2 linked regions of the Saccharomyces cerevisiae S288C genome follow. Changing the gene in region 1 together with any one later gene gives a genetic interaction. Each region holds a gene or a part of one and is shown in the gene's direction. Other genes may lie near its edges.

Region 1 (3,756 bases):
TCTAGATTTGGCAGATAAGCAGTGTAGGCTATCTGAGGAGAAATAGAATACCCTCTATGGTAAGGCGGATTACTAACAGAGGGTCTCTTAGTTGGTTGTTGAATCTGCAAAGTATTAGTGGCAGTAGTGGTTGCAGAAGCGGCAGCGGAGGCAGCACCGTTTGCTGATGCAGGTACAATACTATTTCTACGGCTAATAATTTCATCTCTTAACCAAGAACCAACACTAATGGATCCCCATGAAACACCACCCATCCCTTGAGAATGGGCTATTGATTCTCTCCGTAACTTGGCAATGTCCTGTGGAGTTAGTAGCGTTTGGTCCATTATATTTGGAGAGTACAAATGAACATTATTTGTATTATTCATGATATTTTTTTGGTGAATATTATTGACGCCGTTAAAATCTGTGTTTTTTCCATTAGAAGAATCCGAATTGTTATTTATCAAAATGGAAGGAGTATTCTGGTTCGAATCAATATCAATATTAAAGTTTGATGACGAATTTATAGATGCATGTGCCGATGTAGCCGTCGTAGTAGTACTAGTAGCCATATTGCTTGCCATAGTCATTGTTGTAAAATCCATACTCAGATAAGCTTTTCCTGTTTCGAAGAAAAATAAAAATACTGAATATGAATATGTCTTTTAATAACAATAAATTTGAAAACGCCTTACAAGTGAAATCTTGAGGTGATTAATAGTAGGTGAATCCAGAGAAAGTGTTTCGAGGATATAATATGGTATCAGAAAGCCAAAAGACGACCGGTATATTATAAACTTAGTATGAATGTATCGTGGCGCTTTTTTCTCCTAGCTTTATTCTTCTTGCTTTCTCGCTCTAAATATGATATTGCGATAAAAGGAAGTAGTTTAACTCACCGTAAAATCGATCAATATTAGAAAAACAGAAAACCACCAGAGAGAAGCACCGATATGTAATTGAAGTAGAAAAAAAATCTAGCTTTCCTTCTCTTTATAAGCGAACTTAATGATTAGATTGACTAGCGCTATCCTTCTTTGATTGTAATATTTGTCAAACCTTGTTAACGGAGCCACTAGAATGTACAAGACGTTATATAGGGATGACAGGTAGAAAAGAGATAGGGCCTGGGAGGTAAAATGCGTACGTTAGCCTAGAGAGCTTTAAATCGGTGACGATGCGAAAGCAAATGATAATGGCAATAGCGGTGGCAGGCGACAGTGGCAAGTGACAATGGCTGATAGTGACGTTATTTGATACAAAATCGCCTTTTAACGAATGCATCGCCCATTTGTTCCAAATTTCAATTGATTCGAAATTGCTCCTTATTATGTAACTGACAAAATCCTGTCCCCTTGCACGACGTAGGCGCGTTTTGTTTCTTTTTCCTACCGCAGACCACCTTGCGCACGGGAACGCCGCACTGTTTGGCACCCAGTCACCGCCCGTACCGTCGTTCCACAGAACATGCCGCAGAAACCTGTCGGGTAATAGTACACGGGATGAAGAGACTTAATGCCGACAAGCCGGGTAGGGGAATTGTAGCTCCGAAAAGCGACGGAAAGTTCAATATACAGAAAGCCCGTGCACCATTTTTGAAAAGTTTCATAAGATCTAGTTAAAGTTATGAAGAATTTAGTTCGAATGTGTAGTGATGAGATGAGCAGTAATGAAACATTAATGAACTCAGAATAGGAAAAAAAGGCAACTTCTAAACATTATTGATGGAGCAAAACGCTGAAAAACGCTCTATTGTTGGCGACGACAACTCAACCGTGAAGAGACAAGACACTTCCCCGTCCAAAGGTATTGCACATATCAAACCAGAATATATTGTACCATTGAAGCAGAATGAAAACCAGAAGGTCGCCATCTATGATGAAGAGATGTCTTCCGACAGAATGACAAACGAGTTTGCAGGTGGGACTAATAAGAAAAATAAGAACGGAAGAGGTAAGAAGCGTGGGCAAAACAAGAATAGAGATAACAGGCAGGTCAAGGAACAGAATGTCTTGTGCCCACGCTTGATCCATGGCGATATATCTAAATGCTCCTTTGGTGATAACTGTAGGTTTGTTCACGATATCAATCTGTACCTTTCAACAAAAAAGCCTGAAGTTGAAAGTAATATATTTCCTTCCTGTCCGGTCTTCAACTCGTTGGGATTTTGCCCCATGGGATTCAAATGCAGATTTTTATCGTCTCATCTGAATAAAGAAGATAATATCCTAATATCGAAGAAGGAGATTGATCCAGATGCGCAAACAATATGGTCCGTTAAAGGTGAGGTAAACCATATCTCACCGGAAAGAAAACTCGATCTTATAAAAAGAAGATTTCCTTTCACAAAAAGTAATGAAATATTGGAAATCATCGACTCTTTCCAACAAGAATGTAGAGATTCCATGAAGCCAGAAGAAGAAGTTGAGTCAACGCCACAGCTGAAGAAACAAGACCCAGATGTGGAACAACCAGTTGCCCCCCAAGTCGAACAGAGGAACAAAGAATTGTCAGAACATAGAATGAAACAGCGTGAAGTATACTTGAAGTACAAGGACACTCGTTATTTTGCTCAAGAAAAAAAGCCACTGGATTTGTACCACAAAAAAATCGTGTCGCCATTGACAACCGTAGGCAATTTACCATACCGTCGTCTAATGAGAAAGTTAGGTGCAGATGTGACATATTCGGAAATGGCCTTGGCAGTTCCCTTAATTCAAGGAACTAATTCTGAGTGGGCGTTACCTAAAGCTCACACATCAGAGTTCCCCGGGTTCGGGGTTCAAGTGGCCTGTTCTAAAGCCTGGCAGGCGGCAAAGGCTGCAGAAGCACTCGCAAACTCCGTCAGTGAAATAAGTGAAATCAACTTAAACTCTGGCTGCCCCATCGATTTGCTATACAGACAAGGTTCTGGTAGCGCCCTGCTGGATAACCCTGCAAGAATGATTCGTTGTTTAAACGCGATGAACTACGTATCGAAAGATATTCCTATCACGGTGAAGATCAGAACAGGTACAAAGGAAGGTCATCCTATCGCGGAAGGGTTAGTCAAAAGACTGGTTAACGAAACTGATGTGGCTGCGATTACCTTACACGGTAGGTCTAGGCAACAAAGGTACACTAAGTCTGCGGATTGGGACTACGTGAGTCAAGTGGCTGACACCTTGAGATCCGCCGAAGCGGATTTCATCGAAACCGAACAAGGCAAAGAAGGCAGGGATTCCAAGAACAGAATTCAATTTGTCGGAAATGGTGATGTCAACAATTTTGAAGACTGGTACCGCTATTTGAACGGAAATGAAAATATTGATAGTGTTATGGTTGCTCGAGGGGCCCTGATCAAACCATGGATTTTTGAAGAGGTTGAGTCGCAGCAGTATCTAGACAAGACAAGTACGGAAAGATTAGACATTTTAAGGGATTATGCGCAGTTCTCTATGGAACACTGGGGCACCGACGAATACGGCATTTCTCAATGTCGTAGATTCTTCTGCGAGTTCATGTCCTTTTTTCATAGGTATGTCCCCATGGGTATTTGTGAAAGATACCCTGTGAAGTTGAATGAGAGACCGCCAAACTGGTGTGGAAGAGACGAACTTGAAACTCTAATGGGTAGTACGGATGTTAATGATTGGATCAAGCTAAGTGATCTATTTTTCGGTAAAACCGACGAGAACTTTGTATTTGTCCCCAAACATAAGAGCAGCTCTTATGCAAACAGAGATTCCTAAATAGAAAATCAAGTGTACATGTATCATAAATCATATCTGATGG
Region 2 (3,756 bases), on another chromosome or scaffold:
CTGAAAAAAAAAAAAAAAAATTCAAAAAAAGACACCTTTCTACCTTGGCAGTAAATTTCAAATTAATTATTTACCAAACTGTAGTTCCCGCTCACTAATCCTTTCTTATACTTATTCACATTACTGTCACTTTGCGGCTGTATTTGGCCGCGTTTCCCTTTCGGGTGCAGGTACAAGAGGTATCCGAAACAAGAAGGGTTAAGTTTTGAAGAAAATGCCAAGTATTTCAATTTCAATAATAAGAACGCAAAACTACAGGAGACTCTTACTAAGCATACTACTTCTCAAAAAAGGGCTTTATTTTATAGAACATAAAACATACTGTAGGATCGCACACTGGAAAATATGTTGAAACGATCATCTCTAATATATCTATCATGTGTCCTAATCATTACCATACCAATACTTTTGCATGTATACAATGGTCCAGGACTGTCCCATGAAGCCAATGAACATAGGGCTTCTCACAAGCAAAAAAGAACGTTAGCAAATCCGGATAAACCCAAAAGCGAAAACGATGAAGATCTATTTTGTGCGGTAACCAACCCAGTCACCGGATCATACATAGATCTATCACAGCTATCTTCAACTCCCAACAAATTAAGGGAGGGCCAAAAACAGATTTCTGGCAATAACAAGCATGAATCCTCCAAGACGAAGTGGTCAGTGAGAGGTTGGGGCTACGATACAAACTTCACGTTAGGCATCTGCTCTAGTCCTGTCGGAGAAGCTGAGTCGCAACAACTGTCCAATCTAACGGGCGCTTTTTACGTAGACCAGTTGAACGAAAATAATTTAGTATCGATTGGAGACTTCAGTACAAGGCCTGCGTTAGTCGGCGGCTCTACTGCCAAGAAATTAACTCTCAAATACGAAAACGGCTCTATGTGCCCGAACGGGAAGGACAAGAAGGCAACTTTATTGAATTTTGTCTGCGATAAAGAAATTCAATCAAAGGCCCAGATATCATACATTGGAAACCTACACAATTGCTCGTATTTCTTCGAAGTCCGCAGCATTCATGCGTGCCCCACCTCAAACAAAAAGAATGAAGTTAACGTTTTGGGTATCTTCATCGGTATCTTCGCTATATTCTTTTTAGTCGAATTTGCGGGGAGAAGATGGATCTATGCTAAACTAAATAGGCATTTGAAAAACGACGACGAGTTACACGACATATCGCCATCTTTAAATGAGCAACCACACTGGGACCTCATAGAGGACGGGTCTCGCTGGAGTAAATTTTTCAACGGGATAATTAAGACGACAAGAAGGTTCACGAAATCTTTAATGAGGTCTTTAGTCAGAGGCAGGAACAGCCGTCAAGGGGGCATAAGACTACGGTCATCCCCATCTGCCTCTTCGTCCAGCCTTGCCAACAGGGAGTTCTTCAGAGACATGGAGGCTCAAAACGAAATTATTGACAGCCTAGACATCAATAGTCATACAACAGAAAGCGACCACCCAACTTTGGCTGATAATAGCGTATAAACAATGCATACTTTGTACGTTCAAAATACAATGCAGTAGATATATTTATGCATATTACATATAATACATATCACATAGGAAGCAACAGGCGCGTTGGACTTTTAATTTTCGAGGACCGCGAATCCTTACATCACACCCAATCCCCCACAAGTGATCCCCCACACACCATAGCTTCAAAATGTTTCTACTCCTTTTTTACTCTTCCAGATTTTCTCGGACTCCGCGCATCGCCGTACCACTTCAAAACACCCAAGCACAGCATACTAAATTTCCCCTCTTTCTTCCTCTAGGGTGTCGTTAATTACCCGTACTAAAGGTTTGGAAAAGAAAAAAGAGACCGCCTCGTTTCTTTTTCTTCGTCGAAAAAGGCAATAAAAATTTTTATCACGTTTCTTTTTCTTGAAAATTTTTTTTTTTGATTTTTTTCTCTTTCGATGACCTCCCATTGATATTTAAGTTAATAAACGGTCTTCAATTTCTCAAGTTTCAGTTTCATTTTTCTTGTTCTATTACAACTTTTTTTACTTCTTGCTCATTAGAAAGAAAGCATAGCAATCTAATCTAAGTTTTAATTACAAAATGGGTAAAGAGAAGTCTCACATTAACGTTGTCGTTATCGGTCATGTCGATTCTGGTAAGTCTACCACTACCGGTCATTTGATTTACAAGTGTGGTGGTATTGACAAGAGAACCATCGAAAAGTTCGAAAAGGAAGCCGCTGAATTAGGTAAGGGTTCTTTCAAGTACGCTTGGGTTTTGGACAAGTTAAAGGCTGAAAGAGAAAGAGGTATCACTATCGATATTGCTTTGTGGAAGTTCGAAACTCCAAAGTACCAAGTTACCGTTATTGATGCTCCAGGTCACAGAGATTTCATCAAGAACATGATTACTGGTACTTCTCAAGCTGACTGTGCTATCTTGATTATTGCTGGTGGTGTCGGTGAATTCGAAGCCGGTATCTCTAAGGATGGTCAAACCAGAGAACACGCTTTGTTGGCTTTCACCTTGGGTGTTAGACAATTGATTGTTGCTGTCAACAAGATGGACTCCGTCAAATGGGACGAATCCAGATTCCAAGAAATTGTCAAGGAAACCTCCAACTTTATCAAGAAGGTTGGTTACAACCCAAAGACTGTTCCATTCGTCCCAATCTCTGGTTGGAACGGTGACAACATGATTGAAGCTACCACCAACGCTCCATGGTACAAGGGTTGGGAAAAGGAAACCAAGGCCGGTGTCGTCAAGGGTAAGACTTTGTTGGAAGCCATTGACGCCATTGAACAACCATCTAGACCAACTGACAAGCCATTGAGATTGCCATTGCAAGATGTTTACAAGATTGGTGGTATTGGTACTGTGCCAGTCGGTAGAGTTGAAACCGGTGTCATCAAGCCAGGTATGGTTGTTACTTTTGCCCCAGCTGGTGTTACCACTGAAGTCAAGTCCGTTGAAATGCATCACGAACAATTGGAACAAGGTGTTCCAGGTGACAACGTTGGTTTCAACGTCAAGAACGTTTCCGTTAAGGAAATCAGAAGAGGTAACGTCTGTGGTGACGCTAAGAACGATCCACCAAAGGGTTGCGCTTCTTTCAACGCTACCGTCATTGTTTTGAACCATCCAGGTCAAATCTCTGCTGGTTACTCTCCAGTTTTGGATTGTCACACTGCTCACATTGCTTGTAGATTCGACGAATTGTTGGAAAAGAACGACAGAAGATCTGGTAAGAAGTTGGAAGACCATCCAAAGTTCTTGAAGTCCGGTGACGCTGCTTTGGTCAAGTTCGTTCCATCTAAGCCAATGTGTGTTGAAGCTTTCAGTGAATACCCACCATTAGGTAGATTCGCTGTCAGAGACATGAGACAAACTGTCGCTGTCGGTGTTATCAAGTCTGTTGACAAGACTGAAAAGGCCGCTAAGGTTACCAAGGCTGCTCAAAAGGCTGCTAAGAAATAAGGAGATTGATAAGACTTTTCTAGTTGCATATCTTTTATATTTAAATCTTATCTATTAGTTAATTTTTTGTAATTTATCCTTATATATAGTCTGGTTATTCTAAAATATCATTTCAGTATCTAAAAATTCCCCTCTTTTTTCAGTTATATCTTAACAGGCGACAGTCCAAATGTTGATTTATCCCAGTCCGATTCATCAGGGTTGTGAAGCATTTTGTCAATGGTCGAAATCACATCAGTAATAGTGCCTCTTACTTGCCTCATAGAATTTCTTTCTCTTAACGTCACCGTTTGGTCTTTTATAGTTTCG

The links.
Region 2: mutations in DUS3 (region 1) and TEF1 impair growth when combined (synthetic growth defect), as found in Saccharomyces cerevisiae (one study listed by BioGRID).

The regions. Positions count from the first base shown.
Region 1 is NC_001144.5:922,399-926,154, reverse strand, and holds DUS3 (tRNA dihydrouridine synthase DUS3), read left to right. Parts: upstream 1-1,706; coding exon 1,707-3,713; downstream 3,714-3,756. Other genes in the region: zinc-coordinating transcription factor SFP1, read right to left, coding at 1-587.
Region 2 is NC_001148.4:698,524-702,279, forward strand, and holds TEF1 (translation elongation factor EF-1 alpha), read left to right. Parts: upstream 1-2,070; coding exon 2,071-3,447; downstream 3,448-3,756. Other genes in the region: MRL1 (Mrl1p), read left to right, coding at 346-1,491; GRS2 (putative glycine--tRNA ligase), read right to left, coding at 3,591-3,756. UniProt on the Saccharomyces cerevisiae protein: GTP-binding component of the eukaryotic elongation factor 1 complex (eEF1). In its active GTP-bound form, binds to and delivers aminoacyl-tRNA to the A-site of ribosomes during protein biosynthesis.